Caenorhabditis elegans: one gene and its partners. The protein of the gene in region 4 interacts with the protein of the main gene of each other region in a pairwise test. Each region holds a gene or a part of one and is shown on either strand. Other genes may lie near its edges. The genes, in order: R06F6.8, fbxa-11, rpl-32 and gip-1.

Region 1 (7,673 bases), on a different chromosome or scaffold from region 4:
GATGATTCATTGAAGAAGATGTCGATGGGGATCTATCGATTACTGGTGCCAGTTCCACAGCACTTCCACGTACTCTTTCCAGCACGGCTTCTTGAATCTCAACGTCTTCTTCGCTAGCTTCAATATCCGTTTCACGAATTCTCGATCTAGCTCCATTTAAATCAACTACAGTCCTTTCCAATTTTCTGGCTTTAGGCTTCTTTATATTATCCAATGAGTCATTTAGTAGTCCATTCAAGCTTGCAGTACTCTGGCTGACACGAATATTTCCAAGCTTCTTCTCAATTTGATGCACGAATTGAGAACCGATGAGAGGATATGGCCACGAGAATTGAGCATGGAGTCTGAAAATTTTTGAAATTAGAGTTTTTTATATTAAAAATATTCCCAATTTTTATTGAAAATCGACAAAATCGAAGGAATATTCAAAATTTCCGATAGTTTTTCAATAATTTTTTCTCATCAAAATTTACATTTTTCTGGTTAATATTTAGCTTCTGGGTTTTTCTCATATATTTTTACAACGCTTAAAATTTTTTTTAATTTTTCGATTTTCAAAATTTCAGTTTTTTTTTTTTGAAAGATAAAATTTGCATTTTTTTCCAATAATTTTAGATTTTAAAAATTCCCCCAAAAAATGTTTCGTGTTTTTTCTTTAATTATTATTTTTTACAGAAAATGTAACAATTCAGAAATTTAAAAATAAACTTAAATTTTCGAGTTTTCCAATTTTTCCGAGAATTTAAAAATTAAAAAAAAAACGGGAAATTTAAAATCAAAAATTTTTTTTCCGTATAATGTATCATTTTTCTGAAAAACACGAAAAATCGGAATAATTAAAAATTTAAATTTTTTAGTATTAAATTTCAAGTTTTTTTTTCGATTTTCAGATTCTCGAAAAAACTGGAAAACTCGAAAATTTAAGTTTATTTTTAAATTTCTGAATTATTACATTTTCAGTGGAAGAATCCCAATTTACCTTGTAAGTGCCAAGGCAAAATCTTCAATCAAAAAGCAATTTTCGTTTGTAGTTTTCGGTGAAAGAGAAATTTGTTTCCGTCGCGTCTCCAAAAGACCGAGCAAATCGAATTGAAGTTCGGACCAGAAGAATCCTGAAAAAAATTGAATCCAAATTGTCCTGAATTTTTTTTTCCAATTACCAAGATCTAGAAGCCAATAATTATTCAGCAAATGCCACGCGTGATCTTCTAGAATTGATGTCATTTTTGCGGCGAGTCGATTCGTAGCCAATTGTGGAGAAAGTTCACCAGATAGGCCCTGAAATTAGATTTTATAAAAATAAAAATTTCCAGTAAAACACACAAACCCAAGACAACGCCATTTTATCCTTTGAACTTCCGCCAATCGAATCTTTTCTCGGTGCATCTTTTTGCTCAGTACTCTGTGAATGTCGAACTTTATTTAATCTTCCTCCAGCAGCTCCCGCTTGAAATCTATTAATCACGAATTCAGTGGAAGAATCAGCGGACGGTGAGGATACTGTAGGTCGGCGGGATAGAGAAGTCTTGGCACTTGGTGGAGGTGTTCTGAAACTTTTTAAAAATTAAAACAATTGCAAAGTTATTATCAAATTTTATTTTTGTTTGCTTAAAAACTACGGTAGCCGGTCTCGACACGGCCAATTTTTCAAATGCAAATGTGTGGATTACGGTATCTAATAATTCGTTGTTGCGAATTCAACTTAGTTTCGGTCATTATTCTATTTCTGAACACATTTAATTATTTTTCAAAGTGGGTGCCGATTCTGTGGATCGTAGCGTGAAACGGATACGATAACAACGGTGACCTTGATTCTGAATACCTCGCTTGATAAAAGGAGAGTTACGGATGTAGGGCACATGTATTCTGGGAATCTTTTTTCCGTGCGTTCTCTTTTTGGAGGCATTCTTTTTTAATTTCTCTATTAATGAATTCATTAATTCTTACAATGCATCAATATCCTCCGAACCAATAGATCTTGCAAATCTGACCATTTCCTTCGCAATCGTCCATTTTTTCTCTTCTAATGCTTCCTTCACAAGTCTCGCTGCTTGATCCATACTCACTTCGGTGGTTTCAAGATTTTGCAGGACAATCACGAAACTTGCAGCATTTTCGAGTTGTTTCAGTTGTAGACATTCTTCGAATAGTGCATTTGGAGATCCTGTGACATCAAATAACGTTCTCCAAAGTGCCAATTCAGTTTTTCGTGCACAATGTGCTACGGTTTTCAGAAATTCTGGAAATTCGTGAATAAAAGCTACACATCTTGGGAGAAGAGGATCTGGAATTGGTTCACTACTTGTAGCTTCTTCTTCAAGGACTCCATGGAGCAAAAGCTCAAGAGCATGCGTGAAATGTGGAAGAGAACGACAGGCTCCGGCGAGCTCCAAAGCAAAAACTCCAAGATTTCGCTTCAAAAGTTGTCGGAGCAGGTGATGCACAAATACTTCACTATTGCGATGAAGTCCATACATAGTGATACTTTCCATTTGTCCTTGATTTCTTGAAGCTCTTGCAACATGTTGTAGTTGACTCTCGACACCCATTGCAAGACAATCTTTGGCACTAATCACAATTGGATAGATATCAAGTTCAAATGGAAGCATTATTCGTTTCGCGATAAACGTCATTTCCTGTGTGGCTAAATTTCGTTTTCCTGGCACCAACGGCATCCAAACTTTGATTCCTTTTGCACCACAAGCAATCCATAAAGCATTACTCAAATGTGAAGAACATGATTGATTCATTGGAGATGATGGTTCTGAAGTTGTTGATGTGGAAACACTTTGGATTGAAACATTTGATCCATTTCGCCGATGGTTCTTCCATGGAAGATCTTGATTTTGAGACTGGGTTGATTGGGAGACTTGACAACGGTCATGCCACATTTTTTCCACGTATGACGCGATTACCATGGGTTGATGGAGCTGTAAATTTTATTTTAATATTGTATTTCCGAATTCCAAAAATTTCTAATTTAAAAACCAAACATTTCAGAAATCCCAAAACTTCCAAAATTCCAGAAAATTCAAATAGTCTAAATTTGAATCATTTCACAAATTCAAAACTTTAAAAAATCCGAAAATTAAAAAGAAACTGAATTTTGCAAAATTCCAAAATTGAAAAATTCTGAAAATTGAAAAAAATTAGTTTAACCGAGTTAACCGAGTATTTAGGAAAAAGGAAAAATTTTTCATGTTTTAAAAATACTGAAATTCAAAATGTTGAAAAATCTAGGAACGGAAAAATTTTGAAATTTCTAAAAATTGAAAATTATTAAATTTCGAAACAAAAAATTCAATTCCAAAATATTTTAATTTTTTTTAAATTCCAGAAAACCCAAAAATTCGAAAACTCTAGAAGTTCTGAAAATTCAAAAAATTCAGAATGTTTTAAAAATTTCTGAAATACCAAAAATTGGACAAGAATATAAAATTTAAAAATTCCAAAAATTCTAAATATTCATCAAATTTTGCAAAATTCTGGAAACTCAGAAACCATGCAATTTTAATTTTCCGTACAAACCTTTCCATCCTCATTAACACTCAAAGTGATCAATCTTCCCGAAATATTAACCAGCACAGTATCGATACTTGAATAAAATGCAGGTGACAACTTCCCCCGTACATCCAGATTCAGCTGTGTCATTTGAAGAGATACAATACATGTTGGATGTGGAACAATTTCGTTGATTCGAATAACAGTCACAATTTCAGTGGAGACTTTTGTAAAAGCATCTCGTCCAGTTTCCAAGTGAGCCGTGAGCTTATAAAGCGTAATTTGAGCCGATATATCGAATACTGCACAAACGTCGTCGCTGGAAAAATTGGGAAAATATTAATGTCACTGAATCTAGAATAATTCCAAAAAAACTGATAATGAGAGTTCATTTCCAAGATTGAATATTTCTTACCGTAACACGGACATGACCGATTTATGCTCCAAATCCACAACCGACGCATATCGACTGTCAAGTCTCTGAGAAATTGGATAAAATGAGAGATGGGACTTGTCAGTATCCGCAGCAACTCCAACAACTCCAATGACGTCATCATTCCAAATAAAGACACCTCCAGTGACCAAGAGATTCTTCTCTTGAGTCTCATTTCCAAAAATCTTCCAACGTCGATTGGATAATGAACAATATGCCATTCCTTGATCACCGGCCACGACGAGATGTTTATAGTTTCGATCAGTTGATGCATACTGAAAACATATTAAATTTTAACATTTTATTTTAATAAACTCTATCGGAAAATACCTACGTGCCTACATGCCTACCTCATGGTTTTACCAAATTTATGCTTTTAGTTTTTACTTTTAAAAAACTCACTCTCAGTGGCCAATTAGATGATAGATATTCATGTGTAACTGTAATATGATCCCATACAGAATGCGGTGCACAAGCTTCTGCTTCTCGATCCCTTGCAGCACTGATCAAAACCTGCGAGTCACTCATCAATACAGCTCTATCACAATGTTCCATTGCCGGGCTTGAACATGAAGCACTCCTCACGAATGGTTGCATCATAAGCTCATTTTCAGTTCCAAGCCACAGTTGGAAACCTTCTGGACCCCATTCAATAGCCGTGTATCTATCATTTTGATCTTCTTCGACGACACCTTCCAGATTGCAAAATGATTGAGCTCCGAATGAAGTGAAAACTGCGACGAGCCGAGGAAGAGCATGAGCTCCGGATAGTGGAGACCAAATTGCACCGAATCCGTATCCATTCGCGAGGGCTGTTATTCGGTGAACCGGACCCAGTCGATTCGTCAAGTCAGGACCATTTGTTACTTTTGGAGCAACTCGGAACGATTGAACGAGTGAGCCATTTAGTTCATCGATGTTATAGGCACAAACGTCGCCGCTGGAAATAGTTTAGATTAAAAAGAAAACTGTGCGTTTGATTTTTGAAAATTAAAATCTGAAAAATCTGAAAAAACTCACTTTTTACATCCAAAAAGAATCAGAAGGAACTTGTGATTCACATCGCAACACGTGGCATCTTTCATATTCGGAGCCCACACTCCCAGAATTGCCTGGAATAATAAAAAATGGGTTTTTTTTTTAATTTTTCATGATAAAAATCTCACATTAGGTGCAAAATTCGGATCATTCGACGTCAATAGAGCACCTTGACCATCGGAAAGTACAATCGCAAATCCTCCGAGAAGTGGAGCATACACGGCGTCAAAGATATACGTGGATTTTGAAGTAATATTTTCAGATTTCGACTGAAGTTGATCCACGGAGAACGGAATTGAACTGGCACGGAATGAGAGGCTTGCAATAATCTCTCCAGTCCAAGTGACATGATGAGTGAATCCATTTTGAAGGCAAACAAGAAATTCATCACGAGAAGGAACACAACATGTTGGTATATCAGCCAGATTTATGATTATTGTTGGATGAAGATGAGCTGTCGGTCGAGATCCTTTTATAAAAAGTTCCGGTGAGTTTCGTTGGAAATATGGATCCGCAGAGTCTGTGAAATTGTAGCATTGTTCATCGTCTCGCAAATCTAGATTATAGATTAAAATTTTGCATTGATTTGTCTGAAAAATATAATATTTTCAAAGAAAGAACTGTAAAATTTAAATATTACCGTTACAGCTATACTTGTTGAGTCAGGTTTCCAGTAAATTTCTTTTAATTCTCCACGTGTTTCTTTGAAATTGGCATCGATAACCCCGACGGAGCACAGGAGCAGTTGGGGCTGAATTTATGTTTTTTTAATCAGATTTTTATTAGTTTTCAGCACTAACATTTGCCAGCCAAATGTAAATCGCATCATTTGTTGCGACTGCTATCAATCTTCGATCTCGATTTGCCACAATTGACTTGATATCGGCGGCAGTCGAATCCTTTTCATGCTTCGGAAGCTGGAGAACCGATGGCCTGTCATTCTGGAATTTTCAAAAATTATTTTTTATTAAAAAAATTCTAAAGGAAACTTACAGGTATGAACATTCTATGCCAGATCCATCAAATGTTGTATTCTGTTGAAAAATATTAATTATTCGGGGGAAAACGGTTTTTTGCGATTAAAAGCTCAGTAATAAAGAAGCGCGTTCAATTTTTAGCAGATTCAATTCGACATCTTGATTTAAAAATTAGGAGATTGATTTTATTTTGTATTTGGAACGCAAAAACGTTTCAAACAGAATAAAAAGGCCTCCAGCTGTGAATATTTTTCAAGAGCAATCGCGCTCGGTTGCCACGCGTTAGAGGGCAGAGACGCAGACTTTTCAAAAATTTCAGGCGTTCAGGATTGCGTGGATGAAAATGATTTCACTCGAAAAATAACAAATTCATATTTAAATAATAAAATTAACACCAAAAAAAAAAGAATTAACAAAAAAAAACAACAAAACAATTGAATCAGAGTACTGTAGACAAAGTATTGTGCATTTTGTAGTTGCCGTGAACAAGGGTGTCAATTCCCGTGTCCCGTTTGTCCCGTTGTCCCGTTTTTGGGGTGTTTTCACGGGAACGGGAATTCTGTTGTCCCGTTTTTAAAATTTTCACGGGAACGAGAATTCCCGTTGTCCCGTTTTTGTAATTTTTACAGGACACTGACACCCTTGGCCGTGAACGTCCTTTGTCTGCAAATTTTATTGATTTTATTTATCAGTTTTCTGATTTCTCCTAGGAGGGGATTTCTCCTAGGACTCCTAGGGATTATAATTTGATTTTCACTGTTTTTTCTAATATTAAAATCTTAATTTCCAGGTTATCTATACAATTTGAGCTCTCTTTTAAAAAAATTGAAACTCCAAATTTTCCTGAATCTATTATTTATCCCATTTATAATTGCTCCACTATTGTCTTGCGTATAGTAGCGATTGTCCAGCTACACATTACAATGTGTATTCTTGTGTGTAGCCAGTTCATTCAAAACAACAAAAAGACGGCGGCCGTTCTTATCATTTACCCGGCCCCTCCGTGTACCTTGTTCTTTTCTTCACGTTGTCCATTTTCTTTCTTTTTTTCTCTTTTCCCCGAAAAAATTAATTATAACGTTTAAAAAATCAATTTTAATTCATTTCAGAATGCTTCGAAATCTCACCCTCGCCGCTAGAAGTGTTCTCTACAATCCGCAAGTGTAAGTCTGCAAAAATCATCTAATTTGTGAATAAATCTTCAATTTCAGTTCCGTTCGCTCGTTCTCTGCCCAGGCTGACTTCGAGAAGGCGCAGAAAAATCTGAAAACTCTGAAGGAAGAGCCGGACAATGACGTGAAACTGCAGCTCTACGGGCTTTTCAAACAAGCCACCGCTGGGGATGTGCAAGGAAAACGCCCGGGAATGATGGATTTCGTTGGAAGAGCCAAGTATGATGCCTGGAATACTTTGAAGGGACAAACTCAGGATGAAGCTCGCGCCAACTATGCTAAACTGGTCGGTGGACTCATTTCCGAAGAAGCTTCTGCTGCTCCAGAACCAACTGGGCCATCAATCGAAGGACTTGAGAACGTTGACGGTTTAAGTGTGACTCGCGAGGGAAAAGTGTTCAAAATCGCATTGAATAGACCAAAGAAGTTCAACGCATTGACATTGGAAATGTATCAAGGAATTCAAAAGGCACTGGAGGTCTCCAACAATGACAAGAGCACCTCAATCACTGTGATTACTGCCAATGGATCATATTACTGCGCTGGAAACGA
Region 2 (3,781 bases), 1.4 Mb from region 4:
TTATGCTCAAGCTTAGGCCTAAGCCTAGGCTTACCTAAGCCCCCTTTAAGACCTAGGCTTAGGCTTAGCCTGGCCCACGGGGCTCGAACTTCTAAAGAAATAAAATCAATTACTAAAAGTTTTTTTAAAGTAGAAAGATTTTGTGAAGCTTCCGAAAACTACAGAAAAATAGATTAAACAACTCACAGGTCCTCGGGATCCAACTTTTCCAGAATTTGGTTAACCAATGCCAAAGGCATATCCAACAATTCAGGCATTTTTGAAGTATATCTGGAATTTTAGAAACAGTAAAATTTTCAAAATTTTGAAACTTGTTTCGCTAACTCGACAATTGCCAAAACAGAAATTGCTGCCCATTCCTGGTAAGAAAGCTATAAAATTCCCATATTGTGCATTGTGTCGTCACGTTTTGTGTTATTGCGTACTCGGCACTTGAGTTGACGACATCTCAAAAATAACGAATTTTATTCTTTCTTATTGAAATATTAGTTTTTTGTGTATAATGTATAATGTAGTGTATAATGGAAAAAGCAAATAAAAAGCGAAGATTTTATGAATAAACTTATGGAAAAATACAAGTTAATGGAAAAATGCGAGTGGAGAAAAAAACGCGATTTTTTTAATAAAAGGTTTTCAGTGATAGTGAGGAAAAGAGGATCGGATCAAATATTTTGCCAGGAAAGTGTGGAATGTGGGTGTTTTGATAATTATGAGATTCGTAATATAAAAAAATTTGGGGAAAAGGTTACATAAGCTCACAGCAGAACACTTGTCTATTAATAAAAATCACGAATATTTTATTATCCACGGAATATTTGATTTCATATTTCATGTCTTCAGCAACATCCGGCTTGAATAATTGTGCAATTTTGAACGGCGTTGAATCGAACCTACCAATTATGAGAGAGCATTCTTTGAATTCGCTTCTTTTCAAGAGATCCTGAAAGTCAATTTTTTTTCAAAACTTAAAACTTAAAAACTTACCTCTTTGACTTTCGTAACGTCTAGAATTGAGAAATTATCAAATTCGACTTGAAACTTTTCAAAATGAAACAACTGTCCAATTTGCAATTTTTCATTCTGGAACCGAGAATCGTGAGTTCGGAAACGTTTCGCATTTTTCCACTGGTCCAAGCCGGTGAGCCGTTCACAATGGTCAATCGGAGCAGCTTCCCATAACTCGATACTTTCCAGGACTTGAGCATTGAAACACGGAAGAATAAGCAAGGCATCATCAAATGAAAATGTGTTAAGTAATATTTCCTTCACGCAGAGATTTTCTTTATTTTTCAAAATGTCTGTAACGGAGGTTATGCTGTTGAGAAGCTCTTTTCTTTTGTTTCTGAAGCACAATTGTGAGGTTTGGTCCATTACTGCCATTAAATCCTCGAACGCTACTTTCAAATAATCTTCTTCCCTGGCAATACGTTTCCCATTGCAATATACAGCAGAGGTCCCATTTTCTTCACTTTTGTATTTGATGCTTAATCCGTTCAAGTCCATTAAAACATAATCATCATACAAATCCACTGAAACACTATTGAAGCGAATTCCAAAACTGTCCACCGCGGTTCTCAAGCTTCTACACACTTTTCGGCAGACCAGTCTGAAATTATAAAAAATTATTTGAAAACTACAGGCTTAGCCTTAGGCTTAGGCTCAGGATTAGGCTTATGCTTAGGCTTAAATTCGGGCTTAGGCTTAGGCTTAGACTTAGGCTTAGCTCGGGCTTGGACTGAAGCTTAAGTTAGGCTTAGGCTTAAAGGGAACAAGAAAGTAGAGAGAGAGTCCGTGAGGCTTCCTAAACTTCTATTTATGTATTTTTGAAAACCCACTGAAAAAATTCACCGTTCCACGGGCTTCATGCGTTTCAAAACTAGTTTGCCTATTTCTACAGGCATATCCAGCAAAGTAGACATTTTTGAAATTTGCCTGCAAAAATTTATAGGGTAAACGTAGAACAGCTGGGAGAGAAAAAATGCTAATGGGAGAAAAAAAGAAAAAAAAACTGGTAAATGTTTATTTCGCTACTACAAATTCTCATTTTTAGGCTTCGAAAATAATATTGCTAGGTCTAAAACATTAACGTTTCAATTCAAATCATTCTCCTTTTGCCAGCAAAGAAAGTGTACGCAGGCGCATGATTTGACGACAAATTGCAGACTTGTTTGAACTGATAAACGCTTGCTATTCCTTAATTTTTTATTTGATTCTGTGCATTTCATTGTGTCATACACAAGTTATTTTCTCAAATTGGATTGTTCAGTTGTAAACCTTGGAATTTTCGGATAAATTTCCGAAAATGTCTGATTCCAACCGAGATGCTCAACATGAACTGGCGAGGATCCATAGAAGGTAATGAAAAAATGAATTTGAAAAAAGGAAATTTTTGAAAAATGGTTTTGTTTTTCAGTTTCGGCCCAATATCCCCGACGCTTTACAATATGCCAATAAATATCGTCGATCAAGTTTTGGAAAAGTTGGAGCCCATGGATCGGTGAGTTGTTTTTTTAAAAATATATTTTCAAAGTTTCCCAGTTGAAAAAAAAGTTTTTTCTTGCAGTTTGAAAATCCGTAAAGTGTGTAGAAACTTGCGAACTTGTGTTGATAGATTTGGAATTCATTTTAATTACATCATTTTTCACATATGGAAGAATGCCTTCGAATTGGGGATGGACGGATTTCACATCAGATACACCGATGCAGAAAACGGAGGTTCAACTGTGAGAAAGGACGAAAATCAAGAAACACCTATCGAAGGAGCAAGTTCTATGAAAATAGCATTCCAAGATTTAAAAACAGTATTGAAGCACACATCGGAATTAAGAATTTCTAACGAGCACAATGAACACGAGATTATCAAATCATTTATTGAAATTTTGAAATCAGTTAAATGTATTCACGTGAAGACAATAAAACTTGTCAATTTCTCATTCAATGATGTCATCACTATTCTCCAGTATTGTAACACCAAAGTTCTGGAAAGCATTGCATTGTGGGATACTCACATAAACAGGCAGTTTGAAAATATTGCTCATCTGGATCAATGGAAATGTGCGAAAAAATGCAGTCTGTTTGGTGATAAGCTTGAAAATAAACTAATTGACCATCTGTTCCACTTTCAATGGTTCCAGATCCAACTGGACGACTTTCCAACATATATTGCAATCAAAATTAGAGATGTAAGTTACAATTAAAGCGTTTTAATTGATGATCAAATGTTTTCAGGATCTAATGAGAAGAAGTACATTTCAAGGTTGCCAGATATATTGTGACACATCAAAGTCAAATCCAATTGAAATTGCAAAAGTGTTCAAACCGGACTATGATGGCGGCAATGAGTTTGAAATTGACTACTCAAACGATAATGCAAACTTTAAAATTCAATTCAATTCTTTTAGGAATTCTAGTTCTCGGTTTGACATGCACAAATTGTGAAAAACATTAATTTCGAAAGTCATTTAATTTCCTGTCAAAAATTGATTAATAAAAAATCTAAATTTAGATTTAGCTAAATATGATTTTAATGCAAGAAGATAAGCAAAAGAAGTGAGAAAGGGCAACCACCAGTCGCCCTGCAAAACAGTTAATAGGCAGTCAATAGGCATGTCGTCTAGCCTCATCCACGGCCTGAGAAGTGGTACCTGTACCGTATACCTAAACGTTTGGGTGCGTGGATCTCAAATCGGTTGGTCCAGTTTTTTTGTGATGCATATAAAGAATGTCCGAAATTAAATTATAAATTTTTTGGACCAAAGGTTTTTTTGTTATCACGCGCCCA
Region 3 (2,857 bases), on a different chromosome or scaffold from region 4:
AAGACATCGCTGACAAAGATGTTCAGTATCAGAAACTGCTCACAATGCTTCATCAAATTTCTTCTGCAAAAAACAACAAGGACGTTCTGCAGGCCTATAAATCTGGAACTGCTGCTTTCAAAGCAACATTGGCGAGGCAAGGATTGTCTCCTGATAAAATACACGAGACGATGGACGATGTCGTTAATTCAATGGACGAGTACAAGGAAATCGAAGAAGCAATTTCGTCTCCGTTTGTTAATGCTAATGGATTTAATGATGCCGACTTAGAGCAGGAGTTGGAAGATCTTATCAGTGACAACAAGGTATTTTTAGTACGAACCACAATCATTAAAAAGTTCGTTGTTTTACAGAAAAATGAGTCAGTGCATCTCCCAGAAGCTCCAACCAACAGATTCGGACTTTTCGACAAAGAAGTAACGCCAGAAGAGGATCAATTGGAAAAACGCCTAGCTAGACTCAGACAAGCTATTTGATTCCTTCCATATTATAAATATTTTGCTCTTTTTCATACTTTGAAAATAAAAACGTTTTTCAAAACAAGTTTATAACAAGATCAACAAATTTACTCCGACTCTTCAGTGCGAAGACGAGCGTTTCCGTTCGTCAGCTTGATGTTCAACTGAGCGGCGCGCTCGACGATTCCCTTGCGGCTCTTGGCGGAGACTCCATGTCCGATCTCTCCGATGTACTTGTAGGACTGCATGAGGAGCATGTCCAAATCCTATAAGATTCAAATTTTAAATAACATCAAAAATGTTCATTAAAACTAACCTTAACATTTTGGACGAGAACCTTCTTGTATCCGTTTGGAAGGACGAAGCGGGTTCTTCTGTCGGATCCGTGACCGATGGTTGGCATGGCACGCATACCACGGAAGCGTCTGCGGACACGGTTATCAATTCCCTTTGGCTTACGCCAGCTTGGGGCTACACGACGGTATCTAAAAAAAATTGTATGATTTTGATGTTTGTTAGCATCCATTATTTCTCTGCTTTTCAATTCTAATGAGTAGGTGCTTCAAAAATTATTTACCTGTCGGACTCATGTCTCTTGAACTTGGTGAGCTTCTTCTTGACGACCTTGACCTTGGTTCCGGAAACGTGCACCATTTTACCCGAAAAGAACGAAAATTAAACCACATTTTCAACGACTTTAGCGGATAAAAACAGAGAGATCAATTGAACGCTTAAAAATCAATATGTGAGAACCAAACATTGTGAATACTAGAGAGACTAGCGATAAATTTGCAGTGAATATAAATTTTCCGAAAAAATAATTATCTTGTCCTACTATTGATCGAATTGAAAAATTTGAGGGAGTTTCAGCAGAATTAATGAGTTTTTATCAAAATTTGGAGAATTAATTGGGGAAAAACGAGCAACAAGTCATCAAAAAGTTAGAAAAAAGCGAAAAGATCCCAAAAAAGAATGCAAAAATTGCCAATTTCGCTGCTGAGAAGGTCGTTGGCTGAGTATTCAACGTTTTGTGTGGTGCGCTAGAGCGCACTTGATGCCTCCCACTTTTCTGCAAAAATCCGTGAGTTGTTTTCAGCAGCCGATTAATTGCAATTTAAAACATTTCAGCGATGAGGAAACATTTATAATGTTAAAAATACTTAAAAAATAAAAATGTTCATAATAAAATTAGTATAATTCTTCCCACCAGGGAGTAGGAATACTTTTAAGAGAATACCAGATTTAAAAAGAAATAATTATTCTGAATCGTAAATTTTGAAAGGCTTTTTTTAGAATGTGCAAAAAGCGAAACATCACAAAAAACTTGTCCAACGGGAGTTTTGGGGCTCCAAAACCTGGTAAAAATTATCTATGTCTATCTAATTTTAAATTAGCGCGCAAATTCTTTTACTCCTCTCGGACAATCACACGTACTCCTCTCGGACAAGCAGTACTGTAATTAAATAGTTGATTTTCAGAAAGTTCAGACGATTTTTCATTTTTTAATAAACTTATGCATTTTAATAAACTTATTCGTGTTCATTTATCAAAAAAAAATTTAAATTGCAATCATATGTATTTTATCAATGATAAAATTGAAACAAAACCAAATATTTCGATCATATCCTGGAGGATATAACCCGTTAAAATTTAAAACTCTAAAAATTTGGCAATCTACCAGAACTCAAAATTTCCAACCGAAGTTTTTGTAATTTACCAATTTTTTCTTCATTTTTCAAAACTTAGGGTCGGGGGTCAGATAGCTCATATATGATCAGTCGGTAGTGGTGGCCGCTAGCAATCTGGAGGTCACGAGTTCAAGTTCGGCCTCACCCTCTAGGTTCACCCAGCCTCTATTAATAGATTTATTGGGAAGTGGAGCAATCCACGACTGTATTATCGGCCACAGTCCCCGGCTAGGACGTGGCTTAAATTACAGCCCAGAGGGATCACCACCAGGCAGTGTACCTGAATCCCAGATCCGCAGTGCATAGATCGTCCTTTAATCCTTTAATCAGCCAAGGTTTTGGTAAATTGTAAAATTAAAAATGTTTGGACAATGTTTTGTGAATTACCAATTTTTTGATCTTTTAAAACTAAAGTGGTAAAAACGGAGTTAAAAACTCAATTAATTACAAAATATTTTCCAGTTTTCGAGCTTTTGGCAAAATCAATCCCGAAACTGATTTTGGGATTCGAAACCACTGAACCGTCTGAACCAATTTTTTTCGGTTAAAAAAATTCCTATCGGATCAACTTAATTGTGATGTAGCCCAAGTGGTGAAGTTGCATTAATACTCTTAAAACAATCCAAAATCATCAAATATGATTATAAAACACCACAAAAAAAATTAGATTTTTGAAAACTTAAAGGTGGAATCTGTGAAATATTTTTATTT
Region 4 (4,701 bases):
TTGAAAATTTGAGCCATTTTTAATCACAAAAACTCATTTTTTCGCGATTTTCTGAAAAATGTCGTTAGATCTGGTGTTGGCGTACTTTTAAAGCTACAGTAACCCGGAAAAAGTGTGCTAGGGGTGAAAATTAGCGGTGAATTCGGTATTTTCAACCAAATTTCCTCAAATTTTCTCGAAAATTACGCACGTAAAAAGCTGATTGCTGGCGCTAATCGGCTGAACCCTCGTAGTTGGTATTCCATTAATTGTATACGGACTCCGTGGCCGTTGAGCCATATTTCCAGCCAATTGGCGTTCCATTCCAAGCATTCGATTGTCATAGGCAGTAAATGAGGAATTGGCACGAGAACGAGACGATGAATCGGCAATTGATGGAGTTTGTTGGTCTCCGGCTGGAAAATTCACTAGTTTTATGGAAAAATTCGCCAATTTTCTGTGAATTTCCAATTAAAAAAAAATGATTTTTCATGATTTTTAAAGCGAAAATAGGCTTGAATTTGTAGTTTTTCTCAATTTCAATACATTTTTACATAGAAATTTGTAGAAAATTCGAGAAAAAACGCCAAAGTTCTAATGGGTGGCCTAAAAACTTGCAAAAAGTTAGGCCACAGTGTTTGGGGATTTGCTCAAAATTTGATTTTTGTGGAATGATTCTATGGAAAATTGCAAATCTTATTGCGAAAATAAAAATTTGAGCATAGCTTTTTGGCTCAAAATCAGCTTGGTGGCCTAGAATTCCATAAAGATCGGTCACCGAAAATTTCTTAGCTGAAACCGATTTCAACACTTAAAATCCATCAAAACCCCAAAAATATGCTAAAAATCGGGTGAAAAATGAAAATTTGGGCATAGCTTCCGCATCTCCGAGTGACAAATGTGCTCTATTGTCAAATTGTTGGCAGAAATACGGTATTTATTCACATTTTCAGCCCAATTTGAGGATGAAAATGTGAATAAATACAGTTTTTAGTGCAAACAAAAAAAAACGAGTAGAGGCACATAAGTCACAGGGGAAAATAGTTCAAAAATTTTGTGGCCTAGAAATCCAAAGAGTTCGGCCACCGAATGATTTTAAATCCAAAAACCACATAGAATTCAGTTTTTATATTCAAAATTCGATTAAAAAGCGACTCTTCGCCAAAAAAAAGCCTCAAAAATTAAAAAAAAATTAATGAAAAAAAACGCAATAATTGTTGCTTGAGAATTAGAAATTTAATAAAAAATTTCTAAAAATCCGAGTTTTCCGACTGGTGGCCTAGAAATCCAAAAAGTTCGGCCACTTAATCATGGCAAAAATTTCGTTTTTTTTTCTATTGAAAATTAATGAAAAAAAAAACTTTTTTTTTTCAATTTTCCACATTTTTGTAGGTTTTATTTCAGCATTTTTTCTCGAAAATCGAACAAAAATAAGCACAATCTTCAACTTTTAAGGAGAAAAAAAATATTTTTATAAAATTCAGGTCAAATTTGACCGAAAATGTCTAATTTTTCGAATTTTTAATGAAAATAAATGTCAATTTTCAAATAAATTATCGACTTTTCAGTGATATTTGCTCCGTTTTTTCACAATTTTTCGCGGCTAAAACCGGTAAAACACCGAACTCAGCGTGCTGAGCACCCGTCCACGACTTGCAGATCTTCTTTGAAACGGCGATGAGGATGGAATCGAATTGGTCGGGGTACCTCCAATGGATCCCAGACCAATACTCGGACTATTTCTTATTGTTTCATTATGAAATAAGTGAGCCTGTCGACATCTCACAAGAAAATCCATCATATAATTCATTTCTACCGATTCGTTCATCAGAGCATCGATTTTTTTGCGAAGCGGTTTTATTCCGTTCGGATCACGAAGTTCGCCTGGAAAACTGCCGCTTTTTTTTTTGGTTTTTTCCCTGGAATTTCATACATTTCTTAACAAATTGATCTACACATGTTCTCGAAGCGTTCACATCGTTGAGCTGACGGCTGTGGAATAGCCCTTCTTGAACTTTTATCACATCTGAAATACAGAAAATTGCAAAATTTTGATTAAAAATCCGTTTTTCTACGGAAAAATCGGCTGAAAATGGTTTTTTTTGTGCAAAAATCGCGAAAATTCACAAGTTTTTCGGCTTGAAAATGAAAATTTGGGCATAGCTTCCGCATCTCCAAGTGACAAATGTGCTCTATTGTCAAATTGTTTGCAGAAATACGGTATTTATTCACATTTTAAGCCAATTTAAGGCTAAAAATGTGAATAAATACCCGTTTTTACTGCAATCAATACGAATAGAGGCACAAGAGTCACAGGGGAAAATGTTCAGAAGTTTGGTAGCCTAGAAATCCAACAAGTTCGGCCACCAATTGATTTTAAATCCAAAAACTGACTAGAATTCGGTTTTTATAGTTGAAATTCTAATAAAAACCGATTCATCACCAAAAAACCGTCTAGAAAATTTCAAATATCTCAAAAAAAAAAAAGACTTAAAATTAAAATTTTGGTTTTAAAATTTGAATTATTCAAAATTCAAAATCCCCGTTTTTATGTAGAAAATCAAATAAAACGGTCTATTTTTAATGGGTGGCCTAGAAATCTAAAAAAAAAGTTAGGCAACCAAGAGAAAAAAAGCCGAAATTGGAGTTTCTCTAGTAAAAAACGAGATTTGAACGAAAAATTCAAAATAAAATTTTTGGCTCAGAAAATCGTGGCCTAAAAAAATCCAAGGAGTTCGGCCACCAATATATTCTTTTGATGAAAAAAATCTGAACTCTTATTATAATTTCAGGAGTTTTTCTGCAAAATGTCGTAAGATTTGGTGTACCACAGTGTTTGCGTACTTTTGGTGCTACCGTACCCCTCGAAATTCGAATATTTACTTGAAATTATTGATATTTTATGGAAAATCTCATTTTTTCGTCAGAAATTCGATTTTTCAGTCAATTTTTCGGCTTTTTCGGTGTTTTTTCTTCTAAAATTCAATCCAATTACCTCTATCATGAAACCCGAAAGCATTTAAAAATTGCTGTACAGCTTCAACTTCTTCGCTGCCTTGTCGACGCATTTATCTGAAATTTTTCCATTTTTTTTTCATAAAATTTCAAGTTTTTGGTTAATTTTCTCCAAAAAATATTCAGATTTTAGTTTTTTTTTAAACAAAAATTAAATTTCTCGCAAAATTACCCAATTTTCAGGAAGAAAAATCGATTTTTAGTGATTTTAATTCAGAAAAATTCGGGGAAAACTGAAAATTCCCGTAAAAAATAGAGATAAATATACACAAATAGGTAACAAAACCAGCACAACACAGCAAAAAAAGGGAAAAATTACAGAAAAATCGATAATTTATTCGAAAATTGATAAAAGGGTAGAGGAAAATTGGAAAAAATGGGGGAAAAAGACAATTTTTAAGGTGAAAATGAGTGAAAATATCGATTTTTCAGGCAAATTTCAGGGAAAAATTGAACATTTTGAGTGAAAAAAAGGGCTTTTTGCGGAATTTTAAGTGAAAATAGGCGAATTTTCAGCCAAATTTCAGGGAAATGGCATATTTTTAACTGAAATAAGTGACATTTTGGCTATTTTTCACGGAAATTCGAAATTTTTAGGAAAATATTGTCATTTTAAGCTAATTTTTCAATAAAATGGTAACATTTTCACAAAAATAGGCAAAAATGCCAAAATGTTGCCCAAATTTCCAGTAAAAAAGGGATGTTTTAGGGAAAAATAGTGGAAAAAATCGCGATTTCAGCAAAATTTCGATAAAAACAACGAAAAAAAAAGGCAAATTTTCACAAAAATAGGCAAAATTTGGTCAAAAATGCCAAAATTTTGACATTTTTGCTCAATTTTCAGGGAACAAAAAGGGAATTTTACGATTTCAGCCAAATTTCGATATTTCCAGCTCATTTTTAGCCAAATTTCAGTCAGATTTCAAGAAAAATAGGAATTTTCAGCGGAAAAAAGTGGAAATTAACAGAAAATTGGAACATTTTTGATAAATTAGAGGTGATATAGGTGAAAATTCGGCGAAATTTTGTGATTTTTCGCTCATTTTCGCCGCCAAAAAGCCAATTTCTACGACTTTTTCGATCCGAATTTCTTTCGTTCGTAGAACAAATCCGTCTTCGCACTTCCCAAATTCACAATTTTCGGGCATCCGTCACGATCCTTTTCGAGAATTGTGCATTCTTTGCAATAATATGCATCACTGACGCCAGCGCCACCACAAATCACACACCGACCCTGCAAAAAAAAAAATGGAAATTTTAATTTTTAGCCGAAAAAAAACATGAAAATTTCGCGTTTTTCCGATTTTTTTTTAGAAAAATTTGTAAATTTTGCCGTTTTTCACTCGTTTTTTGAGAGAAATTTCACAAAATTTTGCATTTTTCAGTCGAAAAATATGAAAATTTTTCAATTTTCCTGGTTTTTCCCCTCTTTTCTGAGTAAAAACCCGTTTTTAATGGAGAATTTGAAGAAATCCAGTCAAAAATTTGAATTTTTTAAAGAAAAAATTAGTAAAAAAAAGCTGAAAATTGCACTTTTTTGAATAGCGTTTTTCACGCGTTTTTTGAGAGAAATTTCACAAAATTTTGGATTTTCGAGCATTTTTTGCGGAAAACTGACAAATTTAGCGTTTTTTACGCCGAAAAGCTGGTAATTTCCGCAAATAATGTCAATTTTTAGTGGAAAATTTGAATTTTTCCATATTTTTC

The links.
Region 1: the proteins of gip-1 (region 4) and R06F6.8 interact in a two-hybrid assay, tested with the Caenorhabditis elegans proteins (one large-scale study listed by BioGRID).
Region 2: the proteins of gip-1 (region 4) and fbxa-11 interact in a two-hybrid assay, tested with the Caenorhabditis elegans proteins (one large-scale study listed by BioGRID).
Region 3: the proteins of gip-1 (region 4) and rpl-32 interact in a two-hybrid assay, tested with the Caenorhabditis elegans proteins (one large-scale study listed by BioGRID).

The regions. Positions count from the first base shown.
Region 1 is NC_003280.10:10,813,973-10,821,645, forward strand, and holds the start of R06F6.8 (Guanine nucleotide exchange factor subunit R06F6.8), read right to left. Parts: upstream 6,007-7,673; 5' UTR 5,978-6,006; coding exon 5,966-5,977; intron 5,914-5,965; coding exon 5,773-5,913; intron 5,724-5,772; coding exon 5,613-5,723; intron 5,563-5,612; coding exon 5,101-5,562; intron 5,047-5,100; coding exon 4,955-5,046; intron 4,875-4,954; coding exon 4,337-4,874; intron 4,210-4,336; coding exon 3,917-4,209; intron 3,821-3,916; coding exon 3,529-3,820; intron 2,931-3,528; coding exon 1,948-2,930; intron 1,554-1,947; coding exon 1,328-1,553; intron 1,279-1,327; coding exon 1,161-1,278; intron 1,113-1,160; coding exon 980-1,112; intron 345-979; coding exon 1-344. Other genes in the region: ech-4 (Delta(3),Delta(2)-enoyl-CoA isomerase), read left to right, coding at 7,060-7,112, 7,161-7,673. UniProt on the Caenorhabditis elegans protein: Probable component of a guanine nucleotide exchange factor (GEF) that may be required for efficient fusion of endosome-derived vesicles with the Golgi.
Region 2 is NC_003281.10:949,020-952,800, reverse strand, and holds fbxa-11 (F-box domain-containing protein), read right to left. Parts: upstream 1,933-3,781; 5' UTR 1,920-1,932; coding exon 1,849-1,919; intron 1,724-1,848; exon of another isoform or gene 1,638-1,723; intron 1,607-1,637; coding exon 985-1,606; intron 941-984; coding exon 746-940; 3' UTR 537-745; downstream 1-536. Other genes in the region: fbxa-10 (F-box domain-containing protein), read right to left, coding at 187-257; fbxa-67 (F-box domain-containing protein), read left to right, coding at 2,303-2,355, 2,414-2,497, 2,564-3,182, 3,229-3,438.
Region 3 is NC_003280.10:9,055,969-9,058,825, forward strand, and holds rpl-32 (60S ribosomal protein L32), read right to left. Parts: upstream 1,118-2,857; 5' UTR 1,113-1,117; coding exon 1,036-1,112; intron 944-1,035; coding exon 775-943; intron 725-774; coding exon 566-724; 3' UTR 529-565; downstream 1-528. Other genes in the region: chmp-7 (CHMP7 winged helix domain-containing protein), read left to right, coding at 1-305, 354-476.
Region 4 is NC_003281.10:2,345,941-2,350,641, reverse strand, and holds the start of gip-1 (Gamma tubulin complex component protein N-terminal domain-containing protein), read right to left. Parts: upstream 3,052-4,701; 5' UTR 3,048-3,051; coding exon 2,975-3,047; intron 2,006-2,974; coding exon 1,913-2,005; intron 1,864-1,912; coding exon 1,606-1,863; intron 396-1,605; coding exon 191-395; intron 1-190. Other genes in the region: phf-5 (PHD finger-like domain-containing protein 5A), read right to left, coding at 4,061-4,228.